Linked DNA regions of Daphnia pulex. Each later gene encodes a partner of the first gene's protein in a complex. Links are inferred from orthologs where the notes say so. Each region holds a gene or a part of one and is shown on either strand. Other genes may lie near its edges. The genes, in order: eukaryotic translation initiation factor 3 subunit D-like, eukaryotic translation initiation factor 3 subunit K-like and eukaryotic translation initiation factor 3 subunit G-like.

Evidence for each region.
Region 2: eukaryotic translation initiation factor 3 subunit D-like (region 1) and eukaryotic translation initiation factor 3 subunit K-like share a complex: the UniProt entries of both Homo sapiens proteins name them as parts of the eukaryotic translation initiation factor 3 (eIF-3) complex. The link is inferred for Daphnia pulex from reciprocal best matches to the Homo sapiens genes EIF3D and EIF3K.
Region 3: eukaryotic translation initiation factor 3 subunit D-like (region 1) and eukaryotic translation initiation factor 3 subunit G-like share a complex: the UniProt entries of both Homo sapiens proteins name them as parts of the eukaryotic translation initiation factor 3 (eIF-3) complex. The link is inferred for Daphnia pulex from reciprocal best matches to the Homo sapiens genes EIF3D and EIF3G.

What each region holds. Positions count from the first base shown.
Region 1 is NC_060023.1:3,616,111-3,620,287, reverse strand, and holds eukaryotic translation initiation factor 3 subunit D-like, read left to right. Parts: upstream 1-1,377; 5' UTR 1,378-1,523; coding exon 1,524-1,631; intron 1,632-1,691; coding exon 1,692-1,944; intron 1,945-2,001; coding exon 2,002-2,069; intron 2,070-2,128; coding exon 2,129-2,256; intron 2,257-2,327; coding exon 2,328-2,460; intron 2,461-2,524; coding exon 2,525-2,672; intron 2,673-2,733; coding exon 2,734-2,858; intron 2,859-2,922; coding exon 2,923-3,135; intron 3,136-3,194; coding exon 3,195-3,337; intron 3,338-3,396; coding exon 3,397-3,665; intron 3,666-3,987; exon of another isoform or gene 3,988-4,029; coding exon 4,030-4,040; 3' UTR 4,041-4,151; downstream 4,152-4,177. Other genes in the region: cytochrome b-c1 complex subunit 2, mitochondrial-like, read left to right, coding at 1-155, 223-662; L-allo-threonine aldolase-like, read right to left, coding at 4,153-4,177. UniProt on the Homo sapiens protein: mRNA cap-binding component of the eukaryotic translation initiation factor 3 (eIF-3) complex, a complex required for several steps in the initiation of protein synthesis of a specialized repertoire of mRNAs.
Region 2 is NC_060028.1:2,216,385-2,219,441, reverse strand, and holds eukaryotic translation initiation factor 3 subunit K-like, read left to right. Parts: upstream 1-1,253; 5' UTR 1,254-1,362; coding exon 1,363-1,415; intron 1,416-1,505; coding exon 1,506-1,725; intron 1,726-1,786; coding exon 1,787-2,006; intron 2,007-2,082; coding exon 2,083-2,240; 3' UTR 2,241-2,362; downstream 2,363-3,057. Other genes in the region: uncharacterized protein LOC124209413, read left to right, coding at 1-605; acylphosphatase-2-like, read right to left, coding at 2,585-2,699. UniProt on the Homo sapiens protein: Component of the eukaryotic translation initiation factor 3 (eIF-3) complex, which is required for several steps in the initiation of protein synthesis.
Region 3 is NC_060023.1:11,177,130-11,181,043, reverse strand, and holds eukaryotic translation initiation factor 3 subunit G-like, read left to right. Parts: upstream 1-1,564; 5' UTR 1,565-1,681; coding exon 1,682-1,701; intron 1,702-1,768; coding exon 1,769-1,809; intron 1,810-1,876; coding exon 1,877-2,115; intron 2,116-2,180; coding exon 2,181-2,348; intron 2,349-2,414; coding exon 2,415-2,565; intron 2,566-2,576; exon of another isoform or gene 2,577-2,685; coding exon 2,686-2,798; exon of another isoform or gene 2,799-2,868; coding exon 2,869-2,999; exon of another isoform or gene 3,000-3,158; coding exon 3,159-3,177; 3' UTR 3,178-3,260; downstream 3,261-3,914. Other genes in the region: tRNA (guanine-N(7)-)-methyltransferase-like, read right to left, coding at 382-519, 579-680, 761-905, 969-1,122, 1,187-1,305, 1,374-1,450; flocculation protein FLO11-like, read right to left, coding at 3,397-3,585, 3,662-3,914. UniProt on the Homo sapiens protein: RNA-binding component of the eukaryotic translation initiation factor 3 (eIF-3) complex, which is required for several steps in the initiation of protein synthesis.

The DNA.
Region 1 (4,177 bases):
TTGCTCGGGGGCTCCTTCGAAAGTACACGGAGGAGAAGTACGTGTGGATACGAGCAGTTCTTTAGCATATGTGGCTGTAGCTGCTCCCGGAGCTTCTCTGGCTGACACGAAAGCCATGGTTGCATTTGCTCTTCTTCAGAGAGCATTGGGTGCAGGTAATCATATTCCCCTTCTTCCCACAATTAAAAAGTCTATCAAAATAACTCCTTTGTTACTGTCTAGGAATCCCAGTTAAATATGGTTCTGGAGCAGGATCAAAACTAAACCAAGCAGTGTTGGGTGCTGGTGCAGTTTCTTCCTTGAATTTGAACTACTCCGATGCTGGTCTATTTGGGTTCGTGGCCGCTGCCCCAGCCTCAGATGCCGGCAAAGTTGTTTCCGCCGCTACAAAAGTTTTGCGATCAGCTTCAGTCAACGAAAGCCAATTGAGCCGTGCAAAAGCCCAACTTAAAGCCGACTTGTTGATGGCCAAAGAGAACACTGGTGTGTTAGTTGAAGAGTTGGCTCTGCAAGCGCTTCTCAACCGGGCTGATCTTCTTTCTACTGTCGATAATGTTTCAATTGCTGACGTCAACGCTGTAGCTTCCCGGTTGGCTTCTGCCAAGCTAACTGTCGCTGCCATTGGAAACCTGAGCAACGTCCCGTTTGTCGATGAATTATAAAATTTTGAATAGGTCTCTGAATTATAATGTAGTCTATATCTATATTTGCACAGTGGCCCATTAGAAAATATCCAGATCGAACGGTTAATCATTCTTAAGAGCTGAAAGAATACACGTGCCCTGTACAGAATATCCACAGTTTCTCTAATCACTCTAATACTGAAAAATCTTACCTCACAATTCCTCTTTATGTTCCTCTTTCGCAAAATTAAGATTGATACGTCATTCATTTAAAAAACGAAGATACATGGAGGAGAAAGTAATGATTCTCTACTCTCGAAAGAAAATTTGTGCTATCTTCGAAAAGACAACAATAATATGTAATTAAAAAACATTTCTCTCTAGTGGGCTTACTTATATTTTAATGAAGTGTGGGGTTTCCGTGATCTTACGTTCAATCTGGTGTAACTTTCTAAAGTAATGTAACATATTTCTTCATCTGAGTCTGAGCTTGACTCTGGAGGGATTTTATAAAAAACACCATATTCCAGATCAGAATACATTTAGTCATTTAGTATTCTGGCCATTTTTTTATTATATTTTTTGTATTTTTTAGCTGATTTAAGATTTTCATACTTCAGTATCTTATTATAATTGCGTCTAAATTAAAAATTTGTGATTGAAATTAAAGATATGCTAATTCGGAATTATTAGGAAAACAGTGGAAAAAAGTAAAGCGGCAGAAAGGTATAAACATCATTTTCAACAATGGCAACAGTGGTATACGTAGCATCCGGTACTAAAATGGCGATTACCATGTTCTAACTTGTAGCAAGCTGTCAGCCAGCCGGTCTAGTGAGAAAGTGCCTACGACTAAATTCTGAAAAGTTATTTTCATAAGGTCACGTTAAATTGTATAACATGGCGGCGCATTTTGTTCCACCAGCGACTCAAGACAATAATGACGGATGGGGACCTTTAGGTATTCCCGACCGCTACAAAGATATGCCATATCAACCATTCTCGAAGGTAACGTTTCATTGCCGAATTTTGTATTAACTTCTTCTGATGTTTTGTTTAATTTATTAGATGTCGGAATGGGCTGGTGGAAGCAGCATCAATTATTCCTTTACAGACCGCAAGTATGGTGGTGGAAAATACTCTGGAGGGGCTGGTGGAAGCCAGTATGCTTATCTGCATGATGAGGAAGAGAACAGCTTTCAGCTTGTGGATACTGCAAGGACTCCAAGACCAATGTATGCTAGAGGAAGATTCCTTCGCAACCAACGGCTTGCAAGAGGCAGACAAAACTTTAGGAATTCTCAGCCTGTGCCACTTAAAGGTAAAGTGTTCAAATAGCAATTAATAGCAACAGATTGTTTATACATTTTCTTTGAAGGTGGCAAGATGAAGGATAACCGAATGAGACAGACTAGGAACAAGTGGAATAATAGAGGACCTCGTCAAGTAAAGCTTCTCACCTTACCGATTATTCAGTCTCATACTCATTTTTTAAAAACTTGTAGGGCCAAATTCAGGTTAAAAACCGTGAATCATCAGTTATTGTTCAGCCTTCATGGAAAATCATTGAAGAGATGGATTTCCCCAGGCTCAACAAACTTTCTCTGCGTCTTAGCAAGGAAGCTTCTGATTTGTAATCAACTATTTAAACTAAAACCTTTCACATGCTGATTTTAAAATAATGATATTATTTTATTTTTCCAGACTTACTTGTGGTGAACTCGAGTTTTATGATAAGCAGTACGACCGCGTAACTGTGAAAAATGAACGAAGACTGCAAAGAATTGATCGTATTTTTCACAAGGTCACCACAACTGATGACCCCATTATCCGCAAAGTAAGAAACAGTAGTCACATTCAAGTCTTACGCGTGGTAGTATGCTAATTCTCAAATTCATTAGTTGGCAAAAACTGAGGGTAATGTCTACGCAACTGATTCCATCTTGGCTACTTTGATGTGCAGTATTCGCTCCAACTATAGTTGGGACATAATCGTCCAGAAAGTTGGTGGCAAACTGTTTTTTGATAAACGTGATGATTCGGAATTTGGTACGTACCTTTTGGCCACTGAGGGAGTTTGCAATGATCTATAATCTTCCCTTTTCCCTAGATCTGCTAACTGTATCCGAAACATCCAATGAACCTCCTCAAGAAGAGGGCATCAATAGCCCACGTAATTTGGCACTAGAAGCGACCTTTATTAATCATAATTTATCCCAACAAGTCCTGAAGATGGTATTTATAATAGGTTTTATAAAATGGCATAAATCCCTAATTTTGTCGTTTCATAATCTTGTAGGGAGAAGAAAAATTCAAATTGGATGAGCCTAATCCCTTCATTTCGGAAGATGAAGTAGGTGAAGTTGCCTCGGTGGCTTACCGTTACCGTAAATGGGATTTAGATGGGGGTGTTGTTCTGGTGGCACGTTGCGAACATGACGCTGTCACCGTTGGATCGGCTGGTGATAACCAATTTATCAACATCAAAGCTCTTAATGAATGGGACTCAAGGGTATGCATATTCACTGTTCGTAATGAAACTGTGTCTTTAAAATGATTTTGTACTTCAAGTTGTCTGGTGGAGTCGAATGGCGCCAGAAACTGGACACTCAGCGAGGTGCTGTTCTGGCCAACGAGCTGAAGAATAATGCATGCAAGCTAGCAAAATGGACTGTGCAAGCTCTGCTCGCCAACTCTGATTGGATTAAATTCGGGTATGTGAAGACTCCTGTTGTCCCTCGAATATTATTGTAACTAATATTGTTTACTTCAGATATGTTTCCCGTATGCACTTACGAGATACATCGCGTCATGTAATCCTTGGAACACAGCAGTTCCGCCCGTCAGATTTCGCATCGCAAATCAACCTTAACATGGACAATGCTTGGGGCATTCTCCGTTGTATTATTGATTTGTGTATGAAGGAAGAGGATGGCAAATATTTGTTGGTGAAGGATCCTAACAAGCCCGTCATCCGCCTTTACAAGGTGCCCGATAACACGTTTGAGAGCGACGATGAAGCATTTTTCGAAGAAGGCGAAGGTTTGTAACCAATCAATATCGTAACGTGCGTGTGTAACTGCTGGCTTGCTTTTTTTGCTTGGGTGTTGGCCTCCCTTTTTTTTTTACTAGCAAAGATTAAATAAACACGTCCAAGCAGTTAATCAAATTTCCCTGCATTTGTACGCCGTGTTACGTTTTGCTTGAATTCGTAGCTCGAGCTTTGTATATATGTATAATATCTAACCACTAGTGGAAGTGCTTGGCTTCTTGGGGGAAAAAAACCTAATTAGATACGCGACATGACTTAAGGTAGCTTTAAAAAAGGCGCTATTAAACGCATGATTTCATAACGTCAACCACGAAATGGTAAATAATAATGTATTTATTTTTTACACATGAATAGAAGACGAGTAACGGCTGATACAAACAAAAGAACAGCTCTTCCACCAATTCCCCAATCTACAACAGTACTACGTTTGTAATGATCGTTACATGGAATAAAGCACTTATGAAGCTTCCAGTTTACTTATACAGCTTTACTTTGTTTGATT
Region 2 (3,057 bases), on another chromosome or scaffold:
ATTCTGGAGGTATCACTTTTGAAGGAGGAGTTCTTCCCCTTCTCAAAAAATTTGGGAATTCCTTGACAAAATTAGAACTTGACGTTTTCTTCCTTGACTTAGACATTTTAACCATAATGCAATTTTGCCACAAGCTTCAATACCTTTGCCTTCATATGCGCAGCAAATTTGATCGTTGGCCTAAAGAAGAAGAACAAAAATCGGGAAATAAAAGGGAAATTCCTATCTTAAAACATCTGGAAGAATTGATGTTATGTTCTGATGATTCGCTTCATTCCTTTGTCCCCGCAGAAATTGTGTTAATCTTATTGTCTTCTCCGTTACTATCATTCATTTCCATAAAACTTTTGAATAACCTAACTGACAAAATCATACGAAAAGCAACGCATGTCAATTCCTTTCGTCATCTTGAGAGATTGTGGTTAACTCACTGTAACGAAGTAACTAAATACGGTGTGAACCTTTTTTTACAACAGAATATCCCTCTAAAGAAACTGATTTTGGAACGTTGCGATAAGATAACGTTTGAAGATTCCATCGAATGGGAAGAAACTTTGACCAAGAACAATTGGGAACTTGAATTAGAAATACGTCACCCTTACTAATTATTAGTTAAAAAAATAAAAAGGTACAATGTAATACATTTTTTATGATAAAACCACTCAATTACCGCCGGTAATTAGCCTAATATCGGTAATTTACCGGTACTGTTTTTTTTTAATTATTCTTGAGTAACAACACGAGGAAATCTCATATGTTCTCTCTCGGTATCTTATAAAGGTGGCATTTTGATGTTTGCTCGGAATTCCTCGGGGAAATAGGGTTCATAGAGCATGTTTGAGCAACCATTATTAAAATTAGTTACTGATGGCAGCAAGTAACAGTTATTAGTTTTTATTTTTTGTCGTCTTTTTTAATCATTTGAATTTTGACCATCGCCTAATCTGCTAAGTGCTAAGTGTACCGTGAAAATATCTTCTGTCAAAGATTTTTCAAAGATTTAAATGTCAGCTACATCTTCAACTTTTAAAATTGGCGGAAATTCGAATCACTTTCATTGGTTGAAAGAAGCTCCACAGCTCCACCCGCTCCACCTACCAAGGAGCGGAGTTATTTTCCGACTGAGGGGTTTATGAGGGTTTTCGCCCTAAATTATAGCTCAAAAAAAAATCGTTCTATTTGTTTCATTCTCGACTTTTATCGCAGAGTGAAAATGGAAAGTTTCCACTCCTTCACTTAGCTGATAATGCTTTAAATGGCAACAGAGCCTCTTAGGCCGAAAGCGTCTGCTAAAGCCACATTTCCGTCATCCGTCAAAGTCTAGTTACTGATTGTTAACAATTTCAATAACAGTTCATTATAATGGCCGAAAAGATGAAAACAGAAATCGCTTCTATGCTACAAGGAATTGAAAGGTAAGAGAAAATAATCTGAAAAAGTTAACCCCATCTGCATAGTTGAGGAACACTGTAATGAACAATGGCGGTTTGTTCTCTTATTTCTAGGTACAATCCCGACAATCTTCAGAAGCTAGAACGCTATGTTGAACTGCAAGCACAAGAAAATATGTATGACCTAGAGGCCAACCTAAGTGTGTTGCGATTGTACCAATTTGGCCCAAATTTCTACCGCAGTAACATTGTTAATCTGATCCTACTGAAGGCAATGACCAATTTACCTCACACAGACTTCTTGCTGTGCAAATGCCTTTTGACTCAAGATAGGGTATGTAATATGATTGTTTAATCTAATATATTTAATAGGAATTAATTTTTTTACTTTTCAGTTGGAAGAACCTCAAGTGAGCAGAGTAATGGTCCTAGCTGATTTGCTGGAAACGTGCAAATTCAAGCAGTTTTGGGAGGAATTGGCCAAATGTGGTGACCTAATTATTACTGTTCAAGGATTTGAAGATGCTATTAGGAAGTTTGTTGCTCATGTTGTCAACATTACCTATCAAACTATTGAAGTTCCGGTATTAAAAGAACTTCTTGGCAATGTCAACGGTAATGGCAATATTATCCATGTATTCCCTCTTAACATGGTTTTCGACATTTTAATTTTAAAAACCTCTCTTTTCAGATCAAGTTTTGAAACAATGGGTCGGGAAGTGCAGCTGGAAGGACCTGGGCAACGGCCGTGTGTTCATCACGTCGCAAGAAGATTTGGTCAAGACCAAAAACATCACTGAGAAGATCGAATTTGAAAACGTGGCTGGAATCATGTCACACTGCATTTAAAAGTGAAACTGTCTTTGACCGATCTGCAAACAGGAAGAAAGAAAAACCAACAAACAAACAATTCCAAGGGCAGTGTATTTCTGTTTTGTAACAGCTTCATATACACAATTGTCATGTTTGAATTTGATGATCGTTAAACCACCCAAGCAGTGAATCCCATCGCCGTATTTACACCCGGAATCTGTTTTCCTCTCAAGCAGCATCTAATTAAAAGTTCTGAAATTCGATTCTGCTTTGGCCGATATGGTGTGGGCATGTGCCTCTACATTGACAAGTGAATTGGTGGATGTTTTAAATGATTAGCGGGACATTGAAAAAACAAAGAAAAACCATTTTCATTCGCTTCAAAAACGGATGCTGAATCCGCGGAACTCGGGCCGTGCAAGGTATTCCCAATTGCGAAGCTCGGTGTGGTCGATCTTGCATCCGGGGCTACCTGTCCTCGTCAGCCATTGTGCCCTGTGGAGGAAAAAGGTTTGGAACAACAATTTTAATTATTTCTAGTAGTAGAACTCGTTAAACACACAGACGAATCCGCTTTGGCACCGAGCGCATGACGGGTCAGGAAGATTCTAAAAGTAGCTTGTTTCTCCTCGCTCTACAGAGGACGAGCCCAGCATAGTTAAGGTATTTAACGACGTGTCCTGCCCAAACCATGACTCGTGTGCCTTATCTAGAACCTCGAATGGGCTCGATGCCAATCGTCATTTCGTCGTTTAAATCGTTCGGAGCTGCTCCTGCTTCTGCACCCTACGTTCTAAATCTGTAAATTGCTATTTAAAACAATACGCCACACGGAATGTCGGCTTATTTGTTA
Region 3 (3,914 bases), about 7.6 Mb from region 1:
AAACTAGAAACATTACAAATCAGGAAATCATTCATAAAAGACCCTTCAGTCAAACAGATCTACAAATGGATTGCCAAAAAAGAGAATGTTAAATTTATTTCCATGAAACTTTAATTCAAAGTGCCCATTCGTCATTTGACACGTTTGCGCGCGCTCCCTTTTCAGTTACAAAATACCGTACATACCTTATGAGTTCTTTGTCAACAACTATTGATCTTGGAAAATTTGTCTGTTCTGCGCATGGGCGATGCATACATAAAACGTGGGTCACCTATTTTGAATGGCAGCTTAAAGCTGGTTGATTATGTGAATTCCAGCAAACAGTTCCATTGGGAGCAATACAAGTGACGAGCAGGGAACCGGCAAACAAATTTGTATACATTAGCACTTGTTTTCTTCAAGTACGAATGGATCAGGAATTCTTCTGAATACAGCAAGAAATTTATCACCACTATTTCGCGTGACTTTTTTGCCCTCCTCCGTTGATTCGTACAGTTTTGGAACTACAATGTCTTGATCCTGATACCGCAAAAAGAATTTGTAGTTTTATAGCTATTTAATTATAAAGTATAACTAACCAGCTCTTCCTGGGTTAGTCTCTTAAATAATGGATGTTGGTCTAGATGCATAACCATCCATTCATGAAGATCTTTAACATCAGTAATTGTGTAAACCAAACCCTAAAGTAAAATTTAATTAATCACACAAGATATCTACATCAAGTAGCTAAAGAAGGGCCGTTCTAGGCCTGCCTACTTACCCCTTCAGCCAAAACATAGGCATATTCAGCCAAGAGAGTGTCATTGATAATACGCCACTTGTGTTTGGCCTTCTTAAAATGAGGATCAGGGAAGAGGAAAAACATTTTTGTCAATTGTCCTTTATCGAAAAAGCAAGGGAGGTACCTAGTAGCATAGAATAAATTAAGCAAACATGCCCAAGTAAATGAACAAAATAAATGTAAGTACTTCATGGCATTGCTTCTTAAGCAGGCAACATTTCCGTAATCACCTGGATGCAAAATCCTCAACGCCTTTATGCGATCCTGGACATATTCTGAAACTTTCAAACGAATCTCCATTCCTAACATTAAAGTCTCTGGGAACATGGTGGATAATGATACTGTTAAAAAAAAATACAAAATTAATTTTCCACATATTTTATTGGCAAAATGTGATAAAAATACTCAATAAACCGCCATAGCCACATCCAATATCAGCAAACTGAACTTTGTGTTTCATTATTCCATCTTTGCTGAATGTAGGATAGAGCTCATCCCATTTCATGTCATTGGGAGAGACAGGACTTCAAACGACAAATTGGGTTAGAAAATGACTTAATGATAAATCGAAAACTGGAAATAAGATACTCACTAGTCAAAACAGTGATCTGCGATAGGATTGGAGTGTGCTCTTTGTCGATAATATTTTTTCTGTGGTAAGCTAGCCATTTTTGCTGTATTCGAGTTCCACGTGCCGGAATCTCATAAACGGCGGGATTGTATTCGAAGAAGAGCAGACGAAATTGTAAAAGCAGTCAAAATTACGAAATGAATTTTTCAAAACTGGCAATGTCGCTCTACACACGTTCTAATGGCTGCTTGCTGACACATTTCTGCAATAGCAGTGAATTTTCTACTTTTTGATTATTTACTTGACGTAATCAATCTTCTCCAAGAAAAATGCCGGTTGCTGATAATGAGTAAGTGAAATGAGACAAATTAATGTGCAAATATTAAAAATACAACACAATCTTGATATGATTTCAGAGTTAAATCCAGTTGGGCCGATGACGTTGAGGATATCGATGGTTAGTAATGCCGCTTCCCCGTAATTAATGTAAGATTTTCTTTAATCATGCCGGTATTATTCCTTAGGTCTCGGTTTACCCCCTAACACTGAAGAATACAAAAATGGGCTGAAAATTGTCACAGAGTATGGTCTTGATGATGATAACAGGAAGTTCAAGGTGGTGCGTACTTACAAAATAGAGAAAAGGTATGTAGCTAAAGCCATTGCCCAGCGTAAAAGTTGGCCAAAATTTGGTCTTTCCAAGGAAGATAAACCAGGACCAAACCCTGCAACAACAATTGTATCTGAAGATGTAGCCATGCAGGTATTTCTTTTCTCAGTTGATCTATCAAAACCGTTGGATGCTAATTACCATTTTTACTTTGACAGTTTATTACGAACAAAGAGGATCCTGATAACAAGGAAGATGACCCTCTTATGAAGTTAAAAAGCATGCAGAAGGGCATTGTTAAGTGTCGTATCTGTAAAGAGGACCATTGGACAACACAGTGTCCTTACAAGGACACACTTTTGCCTGTCCAAGAAGCACTCAATAAGGTAAACACATTTTCTTTATTTTGAATTGAACTCTTGCTAATTTTGCTCTATATCTCTTTAATTAAGGCTGAGGAGAAGAAGGCCGGCCCGCCTCCTGCCGCAGCTGCTGCTGGAGGACCGCAAGCCAAGGGTGGTAAAGAAGGAAGCGCCTATATTGCACCTGCACTTCGTGATGGTGGCAACAGAAAAGGAGAGACTATGGCTATGGGTCGACGAAGTAAGATACAGTTTCTTCATAGTAGTTTATTTCATATTATTAAAACCACCGGAGAAGTAATAGAAAACATACATAGGAAAAACATTATTTAATGATTACCCTTTTCTTTCCCGATAACAGCTGATGAAGGGTGCACTGTACGAGTAACCAACCTCTCGGAAAACGCTCGCGATTCCGATCTTCAAGAATTGTTCGGCCGTATTGGCGAAATCTCACGCATCTTCCTCTCAAAGGTTAGACTCAAATTTATTCACTAATTATCATTTTGTAAAAATTATGGCACCGCTTCAAACTGAATTTTAGGACAAAAACACTGGCCAATCCAGAGGTTTTGCATTTGTCAGCTACAAACGACGAGAAGACGCCGAACGAGCTATCAAGACCTTGAATGGTTTTGGTTACGACCATCTTATCCTGACTGTCGAATGGTCTAAGTAAGTTAGCTCTCAATTCACTTAATTTCATTCAAAATAGTTGTGAGCTGAATTTGAAATTCATGACTGGAATTTTTAAAATTTTATTTTTTAACAATTTAGTTCTTTAAATTGACGAGTCAAATGAAACTGATCTTTCTCTTTTCAATCGTTTAACAGACCATCGGGAACACAGTGAAAAAAGCCTAAAATTCCTTCATCAAATATTGGATGCTACGATCATGTAAAGGGATAAAAAAAATACACGCAAATGGATTCCAATCAAGCTCTTCAACCCTCTATCACAGACATGAACCGAATTTTCACCTTTCTCTTTTGTCTTTCTAAGCTAAACATCAAGGGAATGAGGATTACCTCACCTAAACATTATTTTTAAGTGAAAAAAAAGTAAAGTTATCTAGTTTTGCGCTGATTCATCCTCGGCTTGACGTGCAAGATGATAGCCCCTGCTGTTACTGCTAAAGCCTCGTCCTTTACGTTTTGCCAGGTACCAGGCTACAAAAAAGACTGTCGTGATAAAAATGGTGCATCCTAGAACTATGTACATCAGGGAAAGTGGATTCGACTCGATCAATGCGCCTGTTACCTGTATCAACACGGTAAACAAAACAGACGGGTTATAAATACGTAGTGGAAATCATTAGCATTTAAATTTAACGTACCGTTGGGAATATCATCTCTCCCATTGAAGAAGCAACTGAGAAAGCCGCAGAAATCCGGTTAGTTACCAGCAGGTGTGTTTCGGTCCATATGAAGCCTGTTGCGAAGGTTGAAGCCATTCCTACGCCAACCAAGGCCGAACCGACGTACAAAATAGTGGCGTCCGTCTGCCCAGCAACACAGAGAGTCATCGAGCCGAGCGCAGTAGAGCATAAGTTGAAAATGAGCATGGCTGTGGGATTGGTGAAGTGGGCA